4 linked regions of the Saccharomyces cerevisiae S288C genome follow. The gene in region 1 interacts genetically with each later gene. Each region holds a gene or a part of one and is shown in the gene's direction. Other genes may lie near its edges.

The links.
Region 2: mutations in KRE1 (region 1) and DFG5 together harm fitness more than expected from each alone (negative genetic interaction), as found in Saccharomyces cerevisiae (6 studies listed by BioGRID, with this or other methods).
Region 3: mutations in KRE1 (region 1) and CNB1 together harm fitness more than expected from each alone (negative genetic interaction), as found in Saccharomyces cerevisiae (6 studies listed by BioGRID, with this or other methods).
Region 4: mutations in KRE1 (region 1) and CNE1 together harm fitness more than expected from each alone (negative genetic interaction), as found in Saccharomyces cerevisiae (5 studies listed by BioGRID, with this or other methods).

What each region holds. Positions count from the first base shown.
Region 1 is NC_001146.8:31,500-39,716, reverse strand, and holds KRE1 (Kre1p), read left to right. Parts: upstream 1-5,481; coding exon 5,482-6,423; downstream 6,424-8,217. Other genes in the region: HXT14 (Hxt14p), read left to right, coding at 1-1,010; YNL320W (uncharacterized protein), read right to left, coding at 1,163-2,017; VNX1 (calcium/hydrogen antiporter), read right to left, coding at 2,295-5,021; LEM3 (Lem3p), read right to left, coding at 6,529-7,773. UniProt on the Saccharomyces cerevisiae protein: Involved in a late stage of cell wall 1,6-beta-glucan synthesis and assembly.
Region 2 is NC_001145.3:741,659-750,381, forward strand, and holds DFG5 (putative mannan endo-1,6-alpha-mannosidase), read left to right. Parts: upstream 1-4,694; coding exon 4,695-6,071; downstream 6,072-8,723. Other genes in the region: GTPase-activating protein RNA1, read right to left, coding at 1-1,077; TAF9 (chromatin modification protein), read left to right, coding at 1,313-1,786; BCH1 (exomer complex subunit), read left to right, coding at 2,091-4,265; RNT1 (ribonuclease III), read right to left, coding at 6,604-8,019; U2 snRNP complex subunit CUS1, read right to left, coding at 8,272-8,723. UniProt on the Saccharomyces cerevisiae protein: Required for normal synthesis of the cell wall.
Region 3 is NC_001143.9:81,016-89,324, forward strand, and holds CNB1 (calcineurin regulatory subunit B), read left to right. Parts: upstream 1-1,931; coding exon 1,932-1,983; intron 1,984-2,059; coding exon 2,060-2,535; downstream 2,536-8,309. Other genes in the region: DPH2 (2-(3-amino-3-carboxypropyl)histidine synthase), read left to right, coding at 20-1,624; HYM1 (Hym1p), read left to right, coding at 3,689-4,888; ATP-binding cassette long-chain fatty acid transporter PXA2, read right to left, coding at 5,210-7,771; FAT3 (Fat3p), read right to left, coding at 8,269-8,309.
Region 4 is NC_001133.9:35,512-39,472, forward strand, and holds CNE1 (calnexin), read left to right. Parts: upstream 1-1,952; coding exon 1,953-3,461; downstream 3,462-3,961. Other genes in the region: BDH1 ((R,R)-butanediol dehydrogenase), read left to right, coding at 1-792; ECM1 (Ecm1p), read left to right, coding at 998-1,636; GPB2 (Gpb2p), read left to right, coding at 3,748-3,961. UniProt on the Saccharomyces cerevisiae protein: Interacts with newly synthesized monoglucosylated glycoproteins in the endoplasmic reticulum. It may act in assisting protein assembly and/or in the retention within the ER of unassembled protein subunits.

The sequences.
Region 1 (8,217 bases):
GCTCCATGGTATCTACGTATCAATTGATTGTAACATTTGGCATACTAATGGGAAACATTTTAAATTTCATATGCGAAAGATGTTATAAAGATCCTACACAAAATATAGCCTGGCAATTGCCATTGTTCTTGGGATACATTTGGGCAATTATAATTGGAATGTCACTTGTTTACGTTCCTGAATCTCCACAGTACTTGGCAAAAATCAAAAATGATGTGCCCTCTGCTAAATACTCTTTTGCGAGGATGAATGGCATCCCTGCGACGGATAGCATGGTAATTGAATTCATCGATGATTTGCTGGAAAATAACTATAATAATGAGGAAACTAACAACGAATCAAAAAAGCAAAGCTTAGTTAAAAGAAACACATTTGAATTTATTATGGGAAAGCCAAAGTTATGGTTGAGACTGATTATTGGTATGATGATAATGGCATTTCAACAGCTGTCCGGAATAAATTATTTCTTTTATTACGGAACGTCTGTTTTCAAAGGTGTCGGGATTAAGGATCCTTATATTACTTCAATCATACTGTCAAGTGTTAACTTCCTTTCTACGATATTAGGCATATATTACGTGGAGAAATGGGGCCACAAGACATGTTTATTATATGGTTCAACAAATTTATTATTTTATATGATGACATATGCTACTGTGGGGACATTTGGAAGAGAAACGGACTTCTCAAATATTGTTTTAATTATCGTGACTTGTTGTTTTATTTTTTGGTTTGCAATAACATTGGGCCCAGTTACATTTGTACTAGTGTCCGAATTGTTCCCTCTAAGAACGAGGGCCATATCAATGGCTATTTGCACATTTATCAATTGGATGTTCAATTTCTTAATATCACTTTTAACACCAATGATTGTATCCAAAATTGATTTCAAACTAGGATACATATTTGCTGCTTGCCTATTAGCGTTGATAATATTCAGTTGGATACTAGTTCCTGAAACGAGGAAAAAGAATGAGCAAGAGATCAATAAAATATTTGAACCGGAGTAGATATTACATAATATAAATAGAAGAAGTAGCAAAGTGCAGTTTTTTTTTCCATAATAAATAACCATCAGTAACTAAGTGGCCGTGAGGACTGACCACATTTTCTTTACATACAGTAAAGTAAATAAATCTATCAAATATTTTGATTATTACTTTTAGATAAAACCCTTCTCTATTAGAAAATCTCTTATTATATCCCAGTACCCATCTTGAATAATAGTATCATTGTGTGAACCAAGTGGAAATTCGAAAATCTTTTTGTTCGAACTAGGACATGTTTCGTACAGTTTCCTCATGTGGAAGGGTGGAACGATTTCATCTTTTAATCCACTTAAAAACAAGAATGGCGTCTCTGAACTACAGCTTCCCATAAGGCCTTCTGAATTCCAGATTTCGTGACATAAAAGCGTAAAGCGTTTCAAAAGGGGGAAAATATATGGGATAACTTTTCGAATACTCAAAAATGTATTCTCCAGTATAACGCCATCGCATAGATCCCGAAATTTTGAAGCAATGTAAAGAGCATTAGCACCACCTAGAGATCTACCATACAATACTAGTTTTCTCTTTGAATGGAAAGAATCCGTTGACAAATGCGATATGACACAATCAGCGTCCAATTTCAAACCCTTTTCGCTGGGTGAACCTTCTGAGTTACCATAACCACGATACGAATAAATAAATACACTCATTCCAAACTGACGATAGAAAATGTCAATTATTAGTATAAAGTATCCAATATTACCGGCATTGGGACATAAGATCAACACAGTACTTGTTGAGTTTTCATTCTTGATATCCCATGCCTCGAGTTTAATGTGGTCTTGTGTAATTAGGGTTAGCTTTTCATAAGGGATTCCACGGGAATCAGGAGTGTCAACATGATTCCTGGCGCCTTGAGCCCATGATGGGTAGACTAGGCGATTTTGGTAGTGATAAAGGGTCGCAACCGATATTGTTGTTAGCGCTACCAAGCCACCCAAGAACATCTTAGAAACTTTCCACAACATGAGACCAGAAAAGGATTCTACAGTGCAATTGACGGAGAAATAAAAAAGGGAGCAGGTGTGGGCTTGATTCGAGTTATTTCGAGGAACGCACCTCTCTAAGTATAAGAACAACCCAATTGTGAGTAGATCAATTTAAGAGGTGTTAATGATCGTTGCGGGTAATTAATTAACTAAAGACTATATAGAATAAAAAGTAATAAGAAAGACAAACAATACAAAGATATAAGAAAAAGAAAAATTGGTAGGTATCCAGGTGAAAAGCGGGGACAGTTGCTTTCTACTCCGAAAGAGCTCCCTGGAAGTAGAATCCTACAACAATAATGATATATAGTAATATCAACATGGAACCCTTGAAATAGTTACTTTTACCCTCAGCATACAAATAGGTGAACATGAAAACACTCGTCATAGCACCAAATATGTCCCAACGGGGAAAGACTAATGGGAACATCTGTGTTCTGATATTAATCATCGACTTTTTAACATTCCACGTATAGAAAATGGAATAAATGACTAAGGATGGGATTTGTAAAAGACAAACCTGTAAAGCATAAGCACTACCGATTTCCATTGATAACGCTACATTACCATGGATGGCAAATGAAATGGCATTCAAAAACTCTGTCGTATTGGGGATCAGAGCAAAAATGGTGAGACCTAGAAACTTTGGATTCAAGGAGGGAATATCTTCTAGGACAGCATCAACACAGGAAACAAGGATTTCTGCAATTATTGCGTACAGGAGCGTAGACATAAGTAAAATACAAGTAGACTTGCTTCTTGACCAATTGGGTGCATCGTGAGAATTTTGTTCCTGTTGTTCTGGTGCGGTCGAGGTTGGGTCCGCAATAGGCAATTGCCAAATCATCTTTGCATGTGTTCTAAGGGTGAACCACAAGCCAATGATATAAGCACAGAAGAGAACAATGGCACAAGATATGGACATAGGTTGAATAACATGAGTGAATAAACGGTTGAACTTCAGGGGAGGATGCGAGAAAGTACAGTCACGGTCGTTAGCACCGTCTGCACAGTTTACCGAGTAGCCGCCATATATCTCGTATAAAACGGTGGGGACAAACATTACAATCATGGAAAATATTAACAATGCGGAAGAGACACCAGCGCTAGCAGGGTTGTATCTTTGTGTTTTCCTATTTAGAGCACCACCGCACATGGACAGACCTGGTAATAATAGAACGGCACCTAGAATGGAACCAATCATGGATCCTTCCACTAGAAGACCCTTTTTTTGTTGCAATGCAACGCAGTACAAGAAAATTTCCACAATGGTCGAGAAAAATGCATTAATGACAGCACCGACACCCATGGAAGTTTGAGCAGAGATCGATGCGACTGCTTGTCCAATGTAAAATGCTAGTGGGATGGTGGATGTCAAACAAAGAATGAATATTGAGGATTCGTATGTGAACCACGTTTTCCAATGCAGGAAATTTTTCAAAACATAAAAGTCAAAAATTGTAAAGAAAACGATGGATATTAAATTCACAACAATAACATTTGTACCATCAACTGTGTACTTGTAGTAATGCCAGCCAGCGGCACGGAACGTACATAAGAGGATATTTTTGTTCAATTGCTGCTGGGTTATTTCATTTTCGTGCGATTGGGAGGAGTTCTCGACATATTTGAAGCCTAATGCAAGCGGATGTCTTCTGCAATGATACATAATTTGCCAAAGAACATTACTCATGGGAATGGTAAACACCAGGAGCCAGAGGCAAAGAGATAAGACGGCAAGGATGGGTTGCAAGACGAGATGGAAGATTGTATAGAAAAGAACACGACCCCAGCTCCATTTTCCTCTCCCAAAGTACCGTCTTTGAGCCGCTGCGTGCGGAATTTCGTGTCTAATAGAATTATATGATGGATGGTTCGAGTTAAGCGGTGTTGCTGTTGTGTTAGCGGGCGGCATCAAAGACGAAGATTCCGTTGCAGGGGCCGGATGGTCCTCTCTTTGCTGAAACTTGGCCTGAGACTGGTGGAAGACCAGCCTGTTGGAGTATGAAGTCACCCAATTGTAGAATTGCTGCATACTAATACCTTCATCCTTATCTTCTTGTAAATATTGCTCGTCCTGCAACAAGTATACCATTTTGCCAAAAGGCCAAAGGAAATAATTGGCGAGTTTATACAGACACTTGGAGTACTCCTTCGCAGAGTTCGTTACCAGTCCTCCGCCGCCTAGTAAAAATACCACAATAGCCGCCGAGTAGAAGAGTATCGCAATGGGGAAACCGAACAAAATAAACCATAGCACATTGGAACAAGTCACCTCCCAGGTAATAGTCTTCAACTGAGTCTCGTGAATGTCTTGCGCCGCGGTTCTTTGAACTGAACGGTGTTTCTTATATAAAGCAGGCTTCCATATCCTGATACCGAAGGGGTGGGTCTCGTTGATGGCGTCCTGTCTTTCTCGTAAAGTGAATGACTCTGTGGACGAAGCATTAGACGCCTGGTCATTGTTTTCCAAGTGTGAAGGCGACTGGCAATTGATCTCGTCTATAAGTAAATCATGGCCGTGCGAGTCGTGTATAATGAACCGACTGTCATCATTGGCGTCCTCGTCATCATTGTCATCATGAGGTAATTCCCGGATAGATGAATGCATTCGTTTCGGAGAGCTGGGAGTAGCTGTATTTAAGTCTGGCACAGAGTGCGACTTGGAGGATAGCGACTCTAGTGTGGGCGGCAAGTGTTGTTGGTGCTCGTGGTGGTGCAGCGTGTTGTTGCTGCTATGTACGATTGGTGATTGCGAGCTTACAGATCGCTTGGATTTATTGGCATGCAGGGCGAACTTCAACCCTTCATGCAGACCCTCAAGATACCTGATATCGTTTTGGATCTCCTTTGGATCATCGTCCACGCTAAATATTCTATGAGGAGTCGAGGCAGATGTAGTTGGGGTCAGAACCTCCTCTTTAAGACGATGGTCTCCAGAGGTACTGTTACCACTGGCAGAAATGTGGTTATTTTTGGCCATTGCTGCTTACCGCTCTTCTAGCTAGCAGTTATTTCACTTTCATTTACAGCATCCCTCATGTTTATTATCTTCTTTATCTAATATAAATTAGGAACTAAATAATCCCCTCACCGTATAAAGCGACAGTTCCGTGACGGTTACTATTATGAATATCTCAACGGAAAGAGGGCATTAAAAGATCATAATAGTTGGTACTCTCGTATTTTATATATATATATCACTATATTTTAACACTTTTACTGCTCAATTGTGCCATATACTTCGCCTTATTGCGTACATTCTTCACCTTGTATCCCCCTACCTCAGCGTGTATGGTGATATCGCGTTTTTTCATAAACTGAGAATGGGGCTTTTTCTATAACGTGTATTATGAAAAAAAGAAAATAAAAATCAAGAATTAAGCACTTGTATATGCTACAGTAAAGACCTCTTCAACTTCTGCAAGACAATCAAAAAAAAAATGATGCGTCGCACGCTATTACATTCATTCGCTACGCTGCTACTTTCTTTGTCGTTGTGGTCAGCTGCGGTCATGGCAGCTGTGACAACTCAGGTTACAGTGGTAACAAATGTCGCAGGGGCCCTGGTTACGGAGACCACAATATGGGACCCTGCCACCGCTGCTGCTGCTGCTACAACTACCGCTCAAACAGGTTTCTTCACTACGGTATTCACTACCACTAACGATGTCGGAACCACCGTCACTCTTACTCAGACAGTCAACAGAGCCACTATGCTACCAACCACGACGACTTCTACCTCATCTACTGGTAAGACAACCACCACTGTTCCTACCGCAACTTCATCGTTGTCTTCGGGACTGTATTTATCTACAGTTACCACGACAAACGATTTGGGTACCACAGTTACATTGACTCAAACGTTCACACATTCTAGCACCAGTGCTACTTCATCCGCCTCCTCGTCTGTGTCCTCGTCTGTATCTTCGTCTGGTTCATCCTCCAGTGTAAAGACGACCACATCGACAGGGAGCGCAGTAGCTGAAACAGGCACCAGGCCAGACCCCTCCACAGACTTCACAGAACCTCCTGTGTCTGCTGTCACTAGTCTATCTATTGACTCATACATTACCATCACTGAAGGTACAACCTCCACTTACACAACCACACGTGCGCCAACGTCCATGTGGGTCACTGTTGTTAGACAGGGCAACACTATCACTGTGCAAACTACTTTTGTCCAGCGTTTCTCCTCCCAGTACGTAACAGTCGCTTCTCCCTCCGTGGGGTCTATTGGGATGGGTACTTTAACCGGTACTGTAGGCGTTATTAAATCTGCAATAAAGAAAACAGTTTCGCATAATGAGGCCCAGCATCTAGGTATGAGTTCGTTTACTTCAATTTTGGGTGGGCTATTAACGGTTTTAATTTGGTTCTTATAAATTTTTATTCAGAAATAAACACAAACATATACATATATAAGAGTAAAAATAAAAAAATAAAAAAATTTTACAGGGTTAAAAATAAAGAAAACCATCACTCCTTTTCTATTTCATATTCCATGACAAACTTGATGCATCAGCAATCTTTCTACCGCCGAAGAGCCAAAACGTTAATAATATCAATGCCATGGCAGCACAAATACAGCCTCCAATCAGGTAAACTATACCTAAAAATGGATTTCTACCGCCAAGGTGAGAACCGTGAGTCAAGTAGATTCCCTTCTTACCATTAAACTCCAATACTGGCCAATGCAGACCGATATCCAACTGGTATTCACCCGCTGGCAAAGTATCGTTTTTATTGATTCTGATCAGTTTTGTAATTTTATCAAAAGCACCTGGCCTCATCCAGTTTTGGAACTCTTCCCAATCCTGAATATCAGGAATATTCGTCTCGTTGTATCCATCTGGATACATCTTTTCCCAATATGGTGGAGGTGCTATCTGTGTATAATTGTATTTGGTTTTTTTGTACCTTTTTTTATCAGATTCCCAATTGATTCCTTTATTTGTCAATGAATAGTTGTTAGACGTATCCCCTACATTTGTTAACTGCAGGGGGAACGTGTCGTTGAACATTGAGTTCGCAATTAGGCCACATGGATAGTATATTTTACCATCGGCGTTCTTAGATAGTGGCTTACAATTTATACCGGTTGCATCATGCACCGTCTCATAAGAGGCGTCCTCCCCACGTATCTGATCTTCGCTAAAAGATAGTACATATCTTCTGTGATTGGCAGCAAATTTTTCCAGCACATAATTCAAATATACGTTATTTTTCATATCACTTGGAGTAGTGAACCTGATTTGGCATGTACCTCTTTGTTTTGTGAAGTCATCTGATTCATCATCCACAAACCTCCATTGTGGTGCAGTATTATATGTTTTATATTTGTGAAATACAAATTGCCAATGTTCAGAAGGGATGTCGCTCCATGATGAGGTTGCGTTAGTCATACAGTCCTGGTAATATATGGTTACTTCATCCACTTTGGAGTTCTGTGCTAATATGCACCCTCCTACAATAACAAATACAACAGCAATTAACAGATAAAGAGGCAAAACTGTCCTCGGCGTTAACACCGGGTTTATAGCCGCTAATCTTTGTTGAGTGAATGCATCCTCTTTGGGTCTTCTGTTCTTTGTACGCACAGGCTTTACTTCATCCTCTTCAAACTCAGAAGCATCGACGTCTTCTTCTTCTTCTGGGTTGTCTCCGGACACTATAGCTCCTTTGTCCTTTCTACGGAATACTTCACCAACTTGGCCCAAATCGAAATTTACCATTCTTCAATATTTTACCACCCTCTCGTATTTCTAAAAGGACACTTAATTGTTTTCTGGTCTGTACTGATGATTTAATTTGATCTATTTATTTTATCATCATACAAGATTCCTTTTCTTTAATTTCGCGCATAATAATAATCGTTGGAAAATCAACTGTCAAAAGCCACCAGAACGGCAGACAAAGTTGACACTACAACATTGGACACATACTACCAGAACGCTCATTTGCATTTTGCCACACTTGTACACTAGTTACTGGCACTATCTTGCGGTGGTCACTAAGGCGCACTACACTCGTTACGCCATTTGGGTTTATTGCAGCACGTTCATTTACTTGTCCTCCTGATTTGTTAATACCTCTTGCAATTGCATTAAACATATATATATAATATATACATGTATATATTTCTTGTAAAGTTTTCAAGCTCTTCTATTGGTCTCTTT
Region 2 (8,723 bases), on another chromosome or scaffold:
ATCGACCTCTTCAAAATCGTCAACCTCTAAATCATCAAATTTGCTTTGGAGCAAATCTAAAGCATCAGAATCTTCATCTAATCTGTTACCATTTATTTCTAGCTTTTCCAATTCAGGTAAATTTCCCTTTTCCATAGCCGGTAAGAAGGATACTTCAATGGTTTCTTGAGCCATTTCATTATATTCGAATTTCAAGACATGCAAATTGGGGAATTTAACTTCGGTGAATACTTTAAAGACTTCATCTGAACCAGCAGTTTTCAAAAGACAGTCGTTCAAATTCAATTCAAATAAACTATCCTTCCATGTAGGCAAGGCCTTAGCAAGGATCAAAGAAGCATGTTTCGTGAAAGTATTGTCTTGAAGATCCAAGATTTCCAAGTTTTTCAAGTACTGTAAACCGTAATGAATTAGCGTGGCGACACCTTTAGGCCTAATACCATTTTGGTACAGCTTTACGACTTTCAAACCTTCGGAGTGGCTTTTCAAACCCAGAGCTAAGTAGACTGCGGATCCATTCTCTAATCTATTTCTACCACAGATAAAAGTTTCCAAAAATGGTTTGGAAGCAGCTTTCTTATTTTGAGCGAGATGAAATAGGGCCTTACCAATCCTTTCACCAGCAAAAGGGCCCATACCATTGTTACTTAAGATCAAATGTTTGATATTCACGGCATGTGCAATGTAATCTTCTAGTAACTCGATTGTTCTTAGCCCAAACGCATTATCAGAAAGGTTCACAATCTCCAAGTGAGGACATTTCAACAGAACAGGCAATAAAAACTTCAACGAATCAACGACTTCGTCAACCAACCTCGAAGTGTATAAGTCAGCAAAATTTACTTCAACCAAAGATTCCCTGACCTGTGTATTTTCAGCGATGCATTTAGCTAATGCTTCCGAAGCTTCAGTACCGATTGTATTCCCTGAAAGGTCTAATTTGGTACAGGTTTTCAAAGCTGCCAATTCTTCCAGGTATGGTTTGATATCGTCACTGGTTGTTAACTTGAGTGCCTTCCCAGAGATGGAGTAAACTTGTTCTTCCTCGTGCTGAGGAACGAAGTGCAAGGTAGCCATAGCTAAAAATCTGTTTCGAAAGACAGCCTGTTAAAATGGCCTATATTCACCTTTTACCGTGATATTATGCCTTTGATCAATATCTTCCTAATAAATTTTTTTCCATTAATTGTCCCACAACGTGCATAGTGACATGCATTCCATGACCAAACTAAGAGCTTTAAATCAAAAGTAGAATTTGACATTATGAAACAACACGACAACAAGAAAAGACTAGAGGACTTCACAGACCATTATGAACGGCGGAGGCAAGAATGTTTTGAATAAAAACTCAGTGGGCTCAGTATCAGAAGTTGGTCCGGACTCAACACAAGAGGAAACGCCACGAGATGTCCGTCTTTTGCATCTGCTCCTCGCATCACAGTCGATTCATCAATATGAGGACCAAGTACCGCTACAATTGATGGATTTTGCACATAGGTACACACAAGGAGTCCTTAAGGACGCGTTGGTTTACAACGACTACGCTGGCAGTGGAAATTCTGCCGGCAGTGGATTAGGAGTAGAAGACATACGGCTTGCCATTGCAGCGAGAACACAATACCAATTTAAGCCTACGGCACCTAAGGAGCTCATGTTACAGTTAGCTGCGGAAAGAAACAAGAAGGCATTACCTCAAGTGATGGGTACGTGGGGTGTCAGGCTTCCCCCAGAAAAATATTGTCTCACAGCGAAGGAGTGGGACCTTGAGGACCCAAAGTCTATGTGAATGCACCGCTTATATATCATAAGTACACTAAATCAAGTTCTTCCGGAAGATGCGTCATGTAGAATGCATAATAGAGTAATATACACTAAATAATGCGCTAGTCGTGTATCGTGATCATGTTCTCTAATGTTCTTTTTCCTGCCTGCCCTTTCCTACATGGAAAGTTAGAGAAATGAGATCTACACGATAATGTAGTAACAAATGGACCCTTAAACATCTCAATTCATCTTCTTGAGAGCACTTTCCGCGCTGTATTGATTTTTAGAACGTGAAAAGGATAAACTGAAAACTTGAAGTCCTAACCATGTTGTCTCAAACCTCCATACCGGAAGTGAAAGAAGACGTGATAGGCTATGCGCTACACCAGAGGAGAGCCAGAGTGGGACAATTCCAAGACTTGGGTCCGCCTGATTTAATTACTTTGATCAAATCGTTACCTTCATCCTCGAGCACAACAACTGCTACTGCCTCCGCCAACGATAACGGAGCAACTTCAAACATCAATGGACAAGATCCTACGACCATAGTTACGGAGTTACATTCCCATGACAAATTAAAGGGGCAGATCGGCACTTTCTTTTACTGTATGGGTATCGATACTTCGGATCCAACTTCTATTACAATCTTTGCCAAAAAGATAACCGATCTTTTCTTAGACACGCCCCAAATTTGGTTTGGTAAGAAGAAGCACTTTCACGTATCGAAGATTTCTATCAGTTCTTGGAATGCGTTTAGGAAATATGATGTTAACATTATAGTTCACATTCCAGGAACTGTGCAAACCTACATTATAAATAGCGACGGTGAACAATCGCAACTTCCCTCCGTGGCAGAAGCGTCATCTGGCCGCAACTCACAGGATTTAAACGTCAACATGATTTGGGCGGAAACGTTTATGAGTGGTATTGTACGTGACATTATGATTATGAAAGATAATCGTGCGGATGGAGAATCCCAGAATTTGGTAGAAACACTAATTTTCAATCCATTTACCTCGGGTGAGTTGGAAGATGTTGCCAATAACTTTATTAAACTGTTCCCCTTGGTCTATGAAAAAGGTGTTTATTTAGATGCACCTACTCACGTTTTAAATCCCTCGTTAACCAATAATTATTTAGTGGAAACTTTAGTGGAAATAGTTAGGTTAACTAAGAGTTTGGAAGCATGTCGTAAAATGCTCAAGAAGTTAATAGAAATTCATCCAGAAGCAGTAATAATATTAATTCGTGTTTATTTTGCGTGCGATTTAGAGATAGATGCAGTTGACCTGATCAACGAGCAACTAAATTCCCCCTCTTCGTTCTTAGCCGACGATTCAAAGACTAGCCATATCCAGCTAATCTTCAAATCCGAATTATTAAGTATTCAAAGTGAATTCTTACTGGATGTCAAGAGAGATTACAAGCTTGCTAAGGAAGTAGCCATGGAGGCTGTTAACTGTGCACCAAACGAATTTAAAACTTGGTATTTATTGACTAGAATATACATTAAACTAAACGATATGTCAAATGCCTTGCTATCGTTAAACGCCTGCCCCATGTCACAGGTTAAGGAAAAATACGTTCTTAGAAGAATTGCGCCTATTACTTCAGATGAAAATCTTCATCTGCCATTACCATTGGATGCCTCAATTGAGGAGATTTCGTCATTGAACCCCATGGATGTCCAGTTGGAGCAAAAGTCCGCAGATCCAAACCTAGTCAATCTCTCTGCGTCAAGTTTAAAGTCTACTTTCCAACTAGCCTATAAATTATTGACAGAAATTGTCCAAATAACAGGATGGGAGCAGCTGTTGAAATATAGATCAAAAATTTTCGTTATGGAAGACGAGTACCAAGGCTCCACTTCTTCCATTGATGAAGCAGAAGTTCGCGGTAATGATATATCCAAAATGAGATCAAAGAGGCTATGCGAAAGATGGTTGGATAATCTCTTCATGTTACTATACGAAGATTTGAAAACTTACACCGATTGGCAATCAGAGCAATTGTATTTTGATGCTCAAAACAGTAAATATCACAAATTAACTGTTGAATGGGAATTATTCGGCCTTTGTGCGAAAAGACTGGGACATCTTCCAGAAGCTGCGAAGGCTTTCCAAATTGGGCTTTCCCAAAGATTTTCTCCAGTATGCGCAAAGAATCTATTACAGTTTTACATTGACGAGCATAAGCGTATTAGGAGGGATTCAGTCTCAGCAAACTCCGAGTTAACCTCTTCTCAAATATTGTCAAGTATCAATGACATCGACAGCTCAATCATCGATCTAGTAGTCAAGATTTGTTGCTGGAATCATCGTTGGTACATCGAGTTCTCAATAATATTAATAGATGCTCTGAGTGTTGCAGTACAAGATATGGGCATTACTAAAGTACATAATGAAATTGCCTCTAGATTTTCTGACCCAGTAGCCCAATTGATTGACGATAACATTCTAAATTTTCTGAAGAATTTCACGAATGACACTTTCGATAATTAGAAAAAGATGAATACAATCAATAAAAAGGTGAAAGAAATCAATTAACAAGAAACGGGTTATGTATTTTATGTATGATATCCTGGCATTGTCATGTATAGGTCACCTTCTTGGGGAATTTCCCATTTTCAAGTTATTCTGCCTCTAATGCGATAACCGTAATCTTAAATTGTTTAATTTCTTTTTCACAATCTGAGCCACGCCCGAAAAAAAAACAATGTAATCCGCGTAAAGCGAAACTGAGTATAACCCAAAAATAGAATGTAAATTAATGAAAAGCCCATTTCTCCAAAAGATCAGCTTTACTCAAATATCTAATTAAGTAATTGACTGTGTACATTGTCCTTTATCTCATTTTGAATCACCTTTATTAATTTTTGGTTGTTATATAGGACGAACAAATTAGAACGAAATCATATCCAGAACGCAGATATGATCGTCAATATTAGTGCGAAGATGATCTTATCGATATGCTTTACGTTTCTGTCATTTTTTAAAGCCACTCATGCCATGGATTTGGATACTACTAGCAAAACGTCAATTTGTGATGCGACAGCGTTAATTCAAGGTGGTATGCTGGATTACTATGAGGGTACTAGATACGGTGGTACCGTTGGGATGTTTCAGTCACCATACTATTGGTGGCATGCAGGGGAAGCATTTGGTGGCATGTTGGAAAATTGGTTTCTTTGTGAGAATGATACATATCAAGAATTACTATACGATGCACTATTAGCGCAAACTGGTTCCAATTACGATTATATCCCGTCCAACCAAACGATGGTTGAGGGGAATGATGACCAAGGTATTTGGGGTATTACTGTTATGGGTGCTGTCGAGAGAAATTTTACAGACCCCGGTGACGGCAAGCCAGGTTGGTTGGCAATGGTACAAGCTGTTTTCAACACCATGTACTCAAGATGGGATTCAGAGCACTGTGGCGGTGGTCTGAGATGGCAAATTTTCACTTGGAATAGTGGTTATAATTATAAAAATACAGTTTCAAATGCATGTTTGTTCCAGATTGCGGCGAGGTTGGGCAGATATACTGGTAACACTACATATTTGGAGGTTGCTGAACAGGTTTTCGACTGGCTAGTGGATGTCGGGTATGTGGTTCTTAACGATACTGCAAATGTCTTTGATGGTGCTGAAATTGATACAAATTGCACTGATATTACAAAAATTGAATGGACTTATAATCACGGTATCGTGCTTGGTGGTCTTGCATACATGTATAATGCTACAAATGGAACAGGTGAATGGGAGACCAGTTTGACAAAAATTCTAAATGGTGCTAAATCTTATTTCTTCAAAGATAGTATTATGTACGAAAGCGCTTGTCAAGACTATGGCACCTGTAACACCGATCAAAGAACATTCAAAAGTATTTTTTCTCGTATGCTTGGTCTTACAAGTGTCATGGCTCCCTTTACTAGGGACACAATTGATGATTTGATAAAAACAAGTGCTGAGGCCGCTGCAAAATCATGTAATGGTGGTACAGATGGGCATACATGTGGTTTAAATTGGCAGAAACAAACCAATGATGGCTACTATGGATTAGGTGAGCAAATGAGTGCTCTAGAAGTTATTCAAAATCTTTTAATTCATGACAGGCCAGCTCCATATAAGGAAGATAATGGCGGTACGTCAAAAGGTGACGCGAATGCCGGTATGAACTCATCGACCACTAACGTGCTACAAAACAATTTAAACATTAAGAAAGGTGATCGCGCTGGTGCCGCTATCATCACAGCAGTCATACTGAGTGTGCTAACTGGTGGGGCTGTGTGGATGCTGTTTTAAATGTGTCAAACTAGGCTCAAAAAAATTTTATTGTATTCTAATATTTAGGCTATCCTTTTCTTTCAGTAAAAATGTTTATGTGCTACATACAAAACCCTTCATGATCAAAAACTGATTAAAATTTAGAGAGGAACAATTGTTTTTAAAAAAAATACTAAAAAACACTCACGATGGGGGTCGAACCCATAATCTTCTGATTAGAAGTCAGACGCGTTGCCATTACGCCACGCGAGCTAGTCATATGTTTCTTTCGTCTTTTTCATCTGATGACATTCTAGTGGAACATTTATGGTAAGATACCGATTCCATTTTAAGGATTTCTATACCCTCGAGGAGAACTTCTAGTACATACATAATTTTATAGCTTTGACCAACAATGGAATCCCAAAAATTATCAAATTTTTTATCAAATATTCAAATATATCAAATATTCTAATGTTTTATAAACGTTTTATGAATGACATATATGCGATAATTATATGGCTAAAGAAAATCAATGCAAGTTCCATCATGGTTGTGTAAAAGGAACGTTTCAGCTTGTATCTGAGAATTTTCTTTTCTTATTCTTTTGTGAGGGATCTTTTAACACAGATTCACTCCTAGGAATGGCAGCTCTTTGTTTGGCGTAAAAATCTAACATTTTTTTGTCACGAAGAGCATTTTCTGCAGCCCTAATACCCGCAATTTTGATATTTCTGCCCACACCGGTCCCTAAAACTGTTCCATCACCTACTCTGCACTCAACTATGGAATTAGGATCAACTGCAGTGGGTTTTTTTACGGTAACATAATGTAGACGTAATGAAGCATAGCCAATCAAAGAGTAAAGCTGCCTTTTAGCATTCATATCAAGTTTATCCGTCTTCTCCAAGGCAACTTGATTACGGGTAGCCTCCTCAATGACAGGTTTGGCAAGCTTTCTTAACCATTTTCTTATTTTGGGCAAATTATTCCTTGGATCATCTTCCATCAAGCCGCCAATGTAAGCTTCGAACACATCTGCATACAGTTTTAGTTTGCCGTTTTGAAAATTGGAATTTTCATCCTTCAAGTCAAAATTTGTCTTAAGTTTCTCATGGAAATTGTACATTATTGACCATTGTTTGATCTGTTCGTTGCTTACCAAATTCATCCTTAATGTTGATAACTGACCCTCGCTGTAATCGGGAAACTTGTTATAAATAATTAATGTCATAACAGAATTTAAGATCGAATCGCCTAGGAATTCTAGTCTTTCATTATGTGCGTTGATCATTTCTGATCCAGACAAGTAAACTTTATCCTTTATTGTGGATTTGTGAATAAATACCCTGGCCCTAATCGCTAAATCTTGAATCTCTGGTAATTTTGGAGGCCATTTTGTTGCCTTGACGATATCACCAGCCTTTGTTGGGTCATAGCTATCTTCTCCTTCGTCTTCTTCTTCATCTTCCTTTTCATTTAAATTTTCGTACACATTTACATCTATTTTCTCTCGCTTTTCCCTTTTAACTTGTTCTAGCTTCTCTAACTTTTCCATATCAGCTTTACTGATTTCTTGCAATATAGGTTGCTTTTGTTCAGTATCAAATTCATTTTCATAATCAGTAATTTCTGTCAAAATTGCGTCTTTTTTAAGATCATGTAAGGTTTTTAATTCAGCTGCCAGTTTTAATTGATAACGTGATAGAGAAGGAAGTATCTGAACAGGCACTCTATCTTGATTGTTAACGGCTTCATTGTAAGCTACCAAATTTGGTGAAAGTTCAATTATTTTATTGTAAGACTCCACCAATTTTGTCACAGCATGTTCTAGTTGAATCACCTCAAGATATTTGTAATTTGATATCTTAAGGTTGCCTTTCAAAAGCGTCTTGGTATTGATATTTTCGCGCTGCTGTGAACCATTTTCGTTATCTAGTTTATTATCATTCTGGGTTTTCTTTTTACCTGCTACTTTTGAGCCCATTGTTTTGAAAAGCTTGTAAATAGGACAGTTTTGCTCTCTTCTATATGCGCATTTACTTGCCTCACTTTGATCGAGCAGGATTCTCCTGAGAGTGACTATATGACCTGATAATGAGATAAATTTTGCGATGAGCTCATGAAAAATTTCAGCATGGTTTAGGGCCGCATTTAAAAAAGAAAAAAACTCGTACGTGAGAAATAGTACCACATGTAAAATTTTGTAAAACTGAAGTACCTATGCGATATTTAGTAGTTATTTCAATACAGTATATAGTTGCTTCTCCGATTCCTCTTCGTTTCTCTCAAGTTTTTCTTCTGCGCTTGTCACTTCGGATATGTCTTCCTGGAAGTGATCTAACTTATGCTCTACTTCATCATCGATTTTGTCATCTTGGCGCCCATTTTCCGCATTCGCCTGTGTATCCTCTTTTGAATTTTCAAATTCAGGGGTTTCAAATGAGATCAATGCGCCAAAATAGTTTCTACCCTGTTTCTTGGACCTTGAATGGTGATTAGGGATTATTTTTCCGTAAACGTCGCCTTTTAAATTCGTTATATCCCAATTCAAGCCGGCAATTTTCAGATCAGGATATCCCGTAGGTAATCCAATGTCTTTCATCTTCATACACCATGGTGGTAGTTGACCTTCGGGTAAATTCATTATGGCACGAAGCTCTTGGCTAATTCTCCCCGGTCTCTTATGAT
Region 3 (8,309 bases), on another chromosome or scaffold:
ATCGTGCAAAGGTTGAAAAATGGAAGTTGCACCGGCCTTATCGACTACTCAGTCGGACGTGGCGTTTCAGAAGGTGGAGACACATGAAATTGACAGGTCTTCATACTTGGGGCCATGTTATAATAGCGATGAGCTTATGCAACTTATCTCGGCTTATTACAATGTCGAGCCTCTCGTGGGTTATCTGGAACAGCACCCGGAGTACCAAAACGTGACCTTGCAGTTTCCTGACGATTTAATCAAGGACTCCTCGTTGATAGTAAGGCTGCTGCAATCGAAATTTCCCCATGGGAAGATAAAGTTTTGGGTTTTAGCTGACACAGCGTACAGTGCATGCTGTGTAGACGAGGTCGCTGCTGAACACGTACATGCAGAAGTCGTGGTACATTTTGGTGACGCATGTTTGAACGCCATCCAAAACTTGCCCGTGGTTTACTCATTCGGAACTCCATTTTTGGATTTGGCACTGGTGGTGGAGAACTTTCAGAGGGCATTCCCAGACTTATCCTCCAAAATTTGTTTGATGGCAAACGCACCCTTCTCTAAGCATTTGTCACAGCTGTACAATATTTTGAAGGGCGACCTGCACTACACAAATATCATATATTCCCAAGTGAACACCTCTGCGGTAGAAGAAAAATTCGTAACCATACTTGACACCTTTCACGTTCCCGAAGACGTAGACCAGGTGGGTGTGTTCGAAAAAAATAGCGTGCTGTTTGGTCAGCACGACAAAGCAGACAACATCTCGCCCGAGGACTATCATCTTTTCCATTTGACCACCCCACAGGATCCGAGATTACTGTATTTGTCTACTGTGTTTCAATCTGTTCATATTTTCGATCCGGCTTTACCTGGCATGGTAACGGGGCCATTTCCCTCTCTAATGAGGCGTTACAAGTACATGCATGTGGCAAGAACAGCGGGATGTATAGGTATTCTGGTCAACACGCTGTCGCTACGTAATACAAGAGAAACTATCAACGAGCTGGTCAAGCTTATCAAAACTCGTGAGAAAAAACACTATTTATTTGTTGTCGGAAAGCCAAATGTGGCCAAGCTAGCAAACTTTGAAGATATTGATATTTGGTGCATTCTCGGTTGTAGCCAAAGCGGTATCATCGTTGATCAATTCAACGAGTTTTACAAGCCCATTATTACACCTTATGAATTAAACTTGGCCTTGAGCGAAGAGGTCACATGGACCGGGAAATGGGTTGTGGACTTCAGAGACGCCATTGATGAAATCGAGCAGAATTTGGGCGGACAAGATACCATCTCTGCCAGCACAACTTCCGATGAACCGGAGTTTGATGTAGTTAGGGGAAGATATACTAGCACATCAAGACCACTGCGAGCGCTAACGCACCTGGAGTTAGAGGCGGCCGACGACGACGATTCCAAACAACTGACTACAAGACATACCGCCTCAGGTGCCGTCATTAAAGGTACTGTATCCACTTCAGCATCAGCACTGCAGAATCGTTCGTGGAAAGGTCTAGGAAGCGATTTCGACTCTACTGAGGTTGATAATACTGGAGCGGATATCGAAGAAGGTATTTCCGGTGTCGCACGTGGTTATGGATTTGATCGCGAAGACGCTATGAAAAAGGAAAACAAATGACTCTTATAATTTGTTTCCCTCGACTTCTCTATTTAAATCCAAGATTTTAACTAATAAACTATTTAATAATAAAACAATTAACTCTTTATATGGAAGCCTTGGAAATTAGCCGCCAAAATGGGATATACATTCCGTGCGAAGTGACCGCGTGGAAGGCCGGGTATCATCTTAAAAATCACTAGTTTCTTTTTTAGCGGAATGCAATAAAGGTGCTTTGTGCTGGTGTGGTTTACACGGAACATCTAGTAGCTAAAACTTGGTAACTCAATGGTGATCAGAATCCATAGAAGCATTTTTATTTCTTAAAATGGGTGCTGCTCCTTCCAAAATTGTGGATGGTCTTTTAGAAGATACAAATTGTATGTACACTTCGGAGTGAGGAAAAGAAAGAAAGGGGAAATTAACCGATTTTACTAACACTGACACTTTGAACAGTTGATAGAGATGAAATTGAAAGGTTAAGGAAGAGATTCATGAAATTAGATAGAGATAGCTCAGGGTCTATTGATAAAAATGAATTTATGAGCATTCCTGGCGTTTCGTCAAACCCTCTTGCTGGACGTATAATGGAGGTTTTCGATGCTGATAATAGTGGGGACGTGGATTTTCAAGAGTTCATCACAGGATTATCCATTTTCAGTGGGCGTGGGTCCAAGGACGAAAAGTTAAGATTCGCCTTCAAAATCTACGACATTGACAAGGACGGTTTCATATCCAATGGTGAGTTGTTCATCGTGTTGAAGATTATGGTAGGTTCTAATCTGGACGATGAACAGCTGCAACAGATAGTAGATAGGACGATAGTGGAAAACGATAGCGACGGCGACGGACGTTTAAGTTTCGAGGAGTTTAAGAATGCTATCGAAACCACAGAAGTGGCCAAGAGTCTGACATTGCAATACGATGTGTAAGACTAGGGGACACTTCATTCATTTATGGTATGCCAATATTTTTAAGAAAAGAAGAATAATACGCGATATTGTTTTTTAAGGAAGGAACGCACACTCGCCCAGTTAGAGTGCTGATGATATATACATATATATATGTATATGTAACAAACAATAAGAAAGCAATGATACAACATAGAGATGAGAGAGAGCATATATGTCAGCGACGAGATATACCAAGATGGAAGCTGATCTCATGTAATAACTGCGGGGTGTACTTTGATAATTTTTGGGATTCCATTGTTATTAATAGCTTTGATATCAGACATACAGAATACCAGAGATTTTCCTCAAAAATATGGCAATGCACAAAGGGGGATCAATAGTTATATAAATTAAGATTATTACTTCTTCTTTGTTTTATGTGTTGTTATTCACTATCCCACTGCATTATCAATCCTTACATATCAGCTTCCGTTAAACCCGATGACTATCTCTCAATCATCATACTATCTTCTTACACCGTATATGATAATTACCAGCAATACTAATGCTAGGAGACAGACCATCTTTGATTCCTATTCCAATAAAGTTAAACTGTGATATTGGTTTATTGGATAAGTTCATATCCTAAAACGTGTTGACAACACTTCGGGAGTTTCCAGTAAGTAAAATTTGTATGGAGGGTTGGCCGAGTGGTCTAAGGCGGCAGACTTAAGATCTGTTGGACGGTTGTCCGCGCGAGTTCGAACCTCGCATCCTTCAGTAATTTTTTTTTTTAATTTATTTTTGTGTTGCAAGCGTTGATCCTTTCCATTATGCAGCCATAAGAGGAGGCTGGATATGAATTATTTATTACCAATATAAGGAGCATGTACCGTTGATTTTGAAGAGCCAATTGCTCCAAATTTTGGATTTTGTGTTCGAAAAAGGGAAGATTGCTCCAAACGCAAATAAGGAGGAAACCCGCTGATTGCACTCTTGGAAAAATAAAAATAAAAAGTGGTCTCAGAATTGTTTCAAAAGTGGCACTGACACAATATTTACAGGCGTTGATAGCTTCTTGTTTTAACAATACGATTTAATCTCGGAGTAGTTAAGCCAAAGAATACGTGTTATCCGTAAGAGGCTTATTGCACGTAATCCCCAGTATAAATTATCCGCAAATCGAAGACAAATGTTTAAGAAATACAAAAATCAAGACTTGGACATGGCATTTTGGTGGAAGAAAAACCCCAAGACCCCTTCCGATTATGCCAGGTTGATCATCGAACAACTAAATAAATTCAGCTCACCCTCGCTGACTCAGGATAACAAACGAAAGGTACAAGAAGAGTGCACAAAATATCTAATTGGCACTAAACATTTTATTGTCGGTGATACGGATCCTCACCCAACTCCGGAAGCCATTGACGAGCTTTATACTGCCATGCATCGTGCCGACGTGTTCTATGAACTGCTACTTCATTTTGTGGATTTGGAATTCGAAGCAAGGAGAGAATGCATGCTTATATTCTCTATATGCCTTGGATACTCTAAGGATAATAAATTCGTCACAGTAGATTATTTAGTCTCGCAACCAAAGACCATATCTTTAATGTTGAGGACTGCGGAAGTTGCTCTACAACAAAAGGGTTGCCAAGATATCTTTTTAACGGTAGGGAATATGATTATTGAATGTATCAAATACGAACAACTTTGTAGGATTATATTAAAGGACCCTCAACTATGGAAATTCTTTGAGTTTGCGAAACTGGGTAATTTCGAAATCAGTACGGAATCTTTACAAATATTAAGTGCCGCATTTACTGCACATCCTAAATTAGTGTCTAAGGAATTCTTCAGTAATGAGATTAATATCATAAGATTCATTAAATGTATTAACAAGTTAATGGCTCATGGAAGCTACGTAACGAAAAGGCAGAGCACTAAACTGTTGGCCTCATTAATTGTGATAAGATCTAACAACGCGTTGATGAATATATATATCAACTCCCCAGAAAACTTAAAGCTCATAATGACTTTAATGACTGACAAATCTAAAAACTTACAACTTGAAGCTTTCAACGTATTCAAGGTGATGGTAGCAAACCCAAGGAAGTCAAAACCTGTTTTTGACATTCTTGTTAAAAACAGAGATAAACTATTGACGTATTTTAAAACTTTCGGTTTAGATTCTCAGGATTCTACTTTTCTTGATGAAAGAGAATTCATCGTTCAAGAAATTGATTCCTTGCCGCGTATAATTTCGTCCACAACAGAAGTTTCTAATAATAATGCATCCTCAAGTAACGTCGCCAGTATAACTTCTCCATCATCAGTAATGAACAATCAATCATCCATCTTAACACATTCAACTTCACCTGATTCAAGATAACTATAAAACTTGGTTCACTTTATAAAAAATGGAAAGTTCTCAGGCAGTGGGTCGTGACATGAATATTCAAAAGTAAAATTATATATAGGAAAGTGTTTATTTGCATAAAAAGGGAAAAATAGTTCAGACTTTTGTATTTTTACGTATTTATACAAAAAAAGGTTGGTACCGGAGGCTGAGGAAGCCAGTACAGTTGGATCCGGTACATGGAATTGAGCAATCAACCGTAAATATGAGCGCTTTCTCAAGATATTAAATTATTATAAAACAATTTATTTATCCAATTTATACATGATTTGGATCCTCCTTTGGCTATGTATGTTACCTCTCCTTTCCTTCTTCCTTTTTTGTTTTAACTTTTTTGTTCAAGCTTTTATTGTTTCTTAGTAAATTTGATGATGCTGAACTAGATGGTTGGGAAAATAGTGGTAATCTCTTACTAGTCTCCTGCCCTGTAGGTGATGTGATTCGCTGCCCTTTATTTGCATTAAACAATGCATTAGATTTGGACGTTTTTGGATCTTCGATCTTTTCAAAAAGATTCAGGTTAGTTTCTGATTTACGAATGATGTTGGATTCTTTAGCAATTGTCAGATCTTTCAACTTCCGCTCCCAAAGTGGCACCTGTTGATCCAAGATGGCATTTAGTTCAAGAAGTTTTTCTTCATTACATAACCTTTCCTTCGGGTTAAACGGTCCAAATTGGTATCCGCCTTTACCATCAAATTTTAACAGATAGTTATGAAAATGCCATAAACTTGTCCTGTGGCAAACTGATATTAACGAGATACCAAAATTTTGCGCATTTTCGTACATCCTTTGTTCCATTTCTGGGGCTACTGCAGATGTACATTCGTCGAGCACAGCAAACTTGGGTTTATGATAGTACATCCTTGCCATAGCTAACCTTTGTTGGACACCAATTGTTAATTCTTCGGACCAATTTCTTACTATACTGAATGCATCACGAACTTTAATGGCGCATGGTGACTGATTGTCTTCCGTCGACAACTGCTGTGAATCATTTTTGGAAGTCCTTTGCGCCAGCAGAAGTGACATATTTTCAGTGACTAAATCCTCCAAATCTAATAATTGCAGAATTTTTATTAAATCTGCATCGCCTAGATCATAATCATTGTGATATCTTTCTTTGAATTGTTCAATACTGTCTGGATAAATAATCTGTTCCCTGAATGTCGACCTATTGCCCATATACGGCCTTTGGGGTAAATAAAATATTGCGCAATCTCTATCCACAGTTCTACGCGGCATTATTAACTTGGATTGATGATTTTTATTGGGAGTCGCCCTTATCGGCCAAAGCCCGCCTAGAATACGAAATAATGAAGATTTACCGCAACCGTTGGGCCCAATAATTAGTAGATGATTTCCATGCTTCAGATCAAAACTTAGCTCCGGTACTAGAACTTGATTGGCAGGTGTTATTAAAGGAATATTTTCAAACTTTATCCTTGAATCATCATATTCCACTATACACCTTTCATCTCTTGGTTCTTTTTCGTCATCACCTTTATTAGCATCCAACAAATCATTGAACTTGTTCAATCTCAATCTGATACCGCGTAATTGTTGTATATTTCTCTTCAGTTCCACAAATCTTCCGATAGAGCTAGATGCAGTGACTAATAATCTTCTATTTGTGATGAAATCAGCCGTCATATCATTCCCGGGTTCCTTAAGCTGTAAGGTGTCTTCACTAGGTTTGTTTTTGAAAAATATTGGAATCGAGCATAGTACCAAGCCAGCTGCGCCCCAAGTATATTTAATGACAAATGCAGTAGCAACATCATAAATAGCTCTTGCCTTTATTTCTCTGTTTAAAAATAGCACCAAACGGTAAAATGAATAATCAACGTTTTCTAGTTCCCTCTTTTGCCCTCTTAGCAGTGCAATTTCTTCATTGCTTGAATGTAGATTCGAGTGTAAAGATCTGAACCAACTTTCCAAAGATGCGCTTGCCATAGTTAACCTAGTGAAATTCGGTTGAATCAATTTTAGTAATGAATTGGAGGCGTAGACAATTAAGCCCAGTGCCAAAGTTCCTTCACCCATAACACTAGTGTTTGAGGTTAATAATTTGAATGAACAGAGGATCAAATCCAGCATTGGCTTTAATAGCTGATTCAGTAATAATGACGAGTTCATTGAAAATGTGTAAATATCTTTTGTCAAATTATCCTGAATTTCTGAAACAGATTCAGCAGAAGCTACGGAATAGAAAGTATGGTGATTAGATAGATACTTTGAGAGTAGAAAGTCTGAAACTTTCCTATTAATAGTGACAGCACAAAGTTTTGTCGTGTAACTGATCAGTGAATTAATAAAACTGGCGGGAATTCCAAGGATCATCCATTTCCCCAACAATATCTTTGTGAAGTTTGCGTATTGAGCTCTTACTAGTGTGGACACTAATTGACCATCTAAAGTAGCCACACGAAGAGACAGCAATGTTCTGATGTTCAGAAGAATAGCCTGTGTAATAAATAAAATGAGGCACTTCTTATCATGAAGCAAAAGTTTGAACAAAAAATCTACCTTTCCTTTTCGCTCTCCCCCCTTATGATTAGTCTTGCTTTCTTTATCAATTATTATTGCACCATCTTCTGAATCTGTGCTATGTTTGGAGACTATCGTTAACTCTTCTTTGCTACTTTCATCTTCCTCTCTATCTACTGCGGTTTCTTTTCCCTCTTCAATTTTCTTATTTTCTAAAACCGTTGACTCAGAATCCTTCTTATCAGTTTTGTTGTTACTAGAACTGGAATTTGAATTGTAAAGCGTGGCTAGCAACAATATTATGTATGAAGAACGCAGTAAATTTACTCTATGCTTCTGATAAAATGCAGAAGCTGTTGAGATCATTATAAAATCTTTCTTCGGTAACTTTTAATTGTATTATTATCCCTTTTGAGTCTTTTCCATATTCAAGACGAACAAAATACAGATAACAATGTTGAAGACGTTTGTTTTGTACCGGATTGAGGACAAGATGATACTTAAATATAATATTATCTTTGATCGAGCAAAGCCATCAATATCATCATCTAACATTCACTTTACTCCACATTTCATTGCCGCCCTTAATCTTTCGGAGGGTGGTAAAAACTTTACGGTGATAGTTGTAATTAACGCCGAAGGAATATACATCAAAGACGAAAGAACATTAATTGCATATATTCCAAAAATATGAATAATTACCAAATTATTATTAATTTTTGTTTTGAAATTTAAATAAAGCTATTAAATAAGGATGATGGTGTGGTATGTACTATAATTCAATATAAGAGATTAAGATAACGCTGTAAATGGTTTGGTACAATTGAAAAAAAGTGATAGAGCATTTACGAAAAAGAAAAAAATTATGCTACCAAATGTGCATTATTGTTAACAGGTCCATTTG
Region 4 (3,961 bases), on another chromosome or scaffold:
TGTGATGCTTGTCAGAGGGGCAGTGAAAATCTATGTACCCACGCCGGTTTTGTAGGACTAGGTGTGATCAGTGGTGGCTTTGCTGAACAAGTCGTAGTCTCTCAACATCACATTATCCCGGTTCCAAAGGAAATTCCTCTAGATGTGGCTGCTTTAGTTGAGCCTCTTTCTGTCACCTGGCATGCTGTTAAGATTTCTGGTTTCAAAAAAGGCAGTTCAGCCTTGGTTCTTGGTGCAGGTCCCATTGGGTTGTGTACCATTTTGGTACTTAAGGGAATGGGGGCTAGTAAAATTGTAGTGTCTGAAATTGCAGAGAGAAGAATAGAAATGGCCAAGAAACTGGGCGTTGAGGTGTTCAATCCCTCCAAGCACGGTCATAAATCTATAGAGATACTACGTGGTTTGACCAAGAGCCATGATGGGTTTGATTACAGTTATGATTGTTCTGGTATTCAAGTTACTTTCGAAACCTCTTTGAAGGCATTAACATTCAAGGGGACAGCCACCAACATTGCAGTTTGGGGTCCAAAACCTGTCCCATTCCAACCAATGGATGTGACTCTCCAAGAGAAAGTTATGACTGGTTCGATCGGCTATGTTGTCGAAGACTTCGAAGAAGTTGTTCGTGCCATCCACAACGGAGACATCGCCATGGAAGATTGTAAGCAACTAATCACTGGTAAGCAAAGGATTGAGGACGGTTGGGAAAAGGGATTCCAAGAGTTGATGGATCACAAGGAATCCAACGTTAAGATTCTATTGACGCCTAACAATCACGGTGAAATGAAGTAATGACAAAATAATATTTGGGGCCCCTCGCGGCTCATTTGTAGTATCTAAGATTATGTATTTTCTTTTATAATATTTGTTGTTATGAAACAGACAGAAGTAAGTTTCTGCGACTATATTATTTTTTTTTTTCTTCTTTTTTTTTCCTTTATTCAACTTGGCGATGAGCTGAAAATTTTTTTGGTTAAGGACCCTTTAGAAGTATTGAATGTGGGAACAAAGACGACAAAAGGTAGTTTTTTCCTTGACTATACTGGTAAGATATCGTCTAAAACAAAGCATGGCCAAGAAAATATCAAAGAATTCAAGAGCTGCTAGACAATCGGATGCTCTTGAACCAGAGGTAAAGGATTTAAGTGAACTACCTAGAGCTGAAAAAACCGATTTGACTAATATTTTGATTAGAACAGCAGCCAAGAATGAGGCATTGCTGGAAGCAAAGATATCTAAGAAAGCCAATAAAAGTAAGAGGGGCAAGAAGTTAAATAAAAAGGCTCTGGAAGACAAACTGGCCAACTCTATTTCATCCATGGACAGGGATCGTTTAGTGAAGGCCTTGAATTTTACCAATCGTCTGGACGGTAAAATTGCCAAGTCCATTTCTCGTGCCAAGTACATTCAAAATACAAGAAAGGCTGGCTGGGATAGCACCAATGAGACTATAAAAAAAGAGCTGGCTTTTTTGAACGGAGGGTTGTCTGTGCAGGCAAAAAGTGCTAGTGAAGGTAATGCTGAAAAGGAAGATGAGGAGATCCCAGAAGTTTTTGACTCTTTAGCAGAGGATAACACAGTGCAGAAGACTCCTACAAATAGATTCGGTGTCCTGCCAGACGATGTTGAAGAATAGAAAATTTTCATATGAAAGGTCCTAGGAATACACGATTCTTGTACGCATTCTTCTTTTTTCTATCTTCTTTCATTCTTTGTACATTAGATAACATGGTTTTAGCTTAGTTTTATTTTATTTTTTATATATCTGGATGTATACTATTATTGAAAAACTTCATTAATAGTTACAACTTTTTCAATATCAAGTTGATTAAGAAAAAGAAAATTATTATGGGTTAGCTGAAAACCGTGTGATGCATGTCGTTTAAGGATTGTGTAAAAAAGTGAACGGCAACGCATTTCTAATATAGATAACGGCCACACAAAGTAGTACTATGAAATTTTCTGCGTATTTATGGTGGCTGTTTTTGAATCTAGCGTTGGTGAAAGGCACTTCATTGCTATCCAACGTTACATTAGCGGAAGATTCTTTCTGGGAGCATTTTCAGGCTTACACTAATACAAAGCATTTAAACCAAGAGTGGATCACAAGTGAAGCCGTCAACAATGAAGGCTCTAAAATATATGGTGCACAATGGCGACTATCACAGGGTCGATTGCAAGGATCCGCATGGGATAAAGGAATCGCAGTTCGAACAGGCAATGCCGCAGCTATGATAGGACATCTCTTGGAGACACCTATTAATGTTTCAGAAACGGATACCTTGGTTGTCCAGTACGAAATTAAGTTGGACAATTCTTTGACGTGCGGCGGTGCGTTTATTAAGTTAATGTCTGGTTTCATGAATGTTGAAGCATTAAAACACTATGCACCCGATACAGAGGGTGTCGAGTTAGTTTTTGGTCCGGATTATTGTGCTCCTGAAATAAATGGCGTGCAATTTGCCATCAATAAGGTTGACAAGATCACACATGAATCTAAACTAAGATATTTGCAAGAGATGCCCCTGTCAAAATTAACTGATACCTCGCAATCTCATCTGTATACGCTCATAATAGATGAATCAGCGCAGTCTTTTCAAATTCTTATAGACGGTAAGACGGTTATGGTAAGAGAACATATCGAAGACAAGAAAAAGGTCAATTTTGAGCCACCCATTACACCGCCTTTAATGATTCCTGATGTTTCAGTAGCGAAACCGCATGATTGGGATGATCGCATCCGAATCCCAGATCCTGAGGCGGTGAAGCTCAGTGATCGGGATGAACGAGACCCATTGATGATTCCACATCCAGATGGCACTGAACCACCAGAATGGAACAGCTCCATCCCCGAATACATTCTTGACCCAAATGCTCAAAAGCCCTCGTGGTGGAAGGAACTTGAGCACGGGGAATGGATACCGCCCATGATTAAAAATCCTCTTTGCACTGCAGAACGTGGTTGTGGCCAGCAGATACCAGGGCTGATAAATAATGCCAAGTACAAAGGTCCAGGCGAACTCAATGAAATCATAAATCCCAATTACATGGGGGAATGGCATCCACCGGAAATTGAAAACCCGCTATACTACGAAGAGCAGCACCCATTGCGCATCGAAAACGTTATCAGTGGTGTGATCCTCGAGTTTTGGAGTGGATCTCCAAACATGTTGATAAGCAACATTTATGTTGGTAAAAATGTAACAGAGGCGCAAATTATTGGGAATAAGACTTGGCTGATGAGAGACCGCGCGTTTAGAGGCTCCGATGGCCCCACAGAACGCAAATTCATGAATAGCAGACTAGGAAATCTACAAACAACTTTCCATAACGAAAGAGAATCCCCTAATCCATTTGACCGCATTATAGATCGCATATTAGAGCAACCTCTGAAATTTGTGCTTACTGCGGCCGTCGTGCTCTTGACGACGTCGGTTCTTTGTTGTGTAGTATTTACATAGTGGACAAGTGTTAGTTTATAACATGGTCTCAATAATTGCACCACAACGGCTTCTCTTTTATAGATGGTTAACATTATAGTATCAATATTATCATCATGATTAAATGATGATGTATAATACTTACCCGATGTTAAATCTTATTTTTTCATGCAGTAAGTAATCATGCAACAAGAAAAACCCGTAATTAAGCGAACATAGAACAACTAGCATCCCCGATAAGACGGAATAGAATAGTAAAGATTGTGATTCATTGGCAGGTCCATTGTCGCATTACTAAATCATAGGCATGGAAATTTCCAGTTCACCATGGAACGACGGTGGATACAGCCCCTATGAGAGAAACAGAGTCGCTGTATCACCATTTTCATCAGCGTTGGAAGGCGAAGAACGAATAGAAACCTCTCGATCTTTGGGTGATCATTGCTTTGAACCTTTGCCATACGTGACGAATTATCTTTCTATTTTCGCGCTTTTTGGTAAAGAGATATTTGGTGACAAGG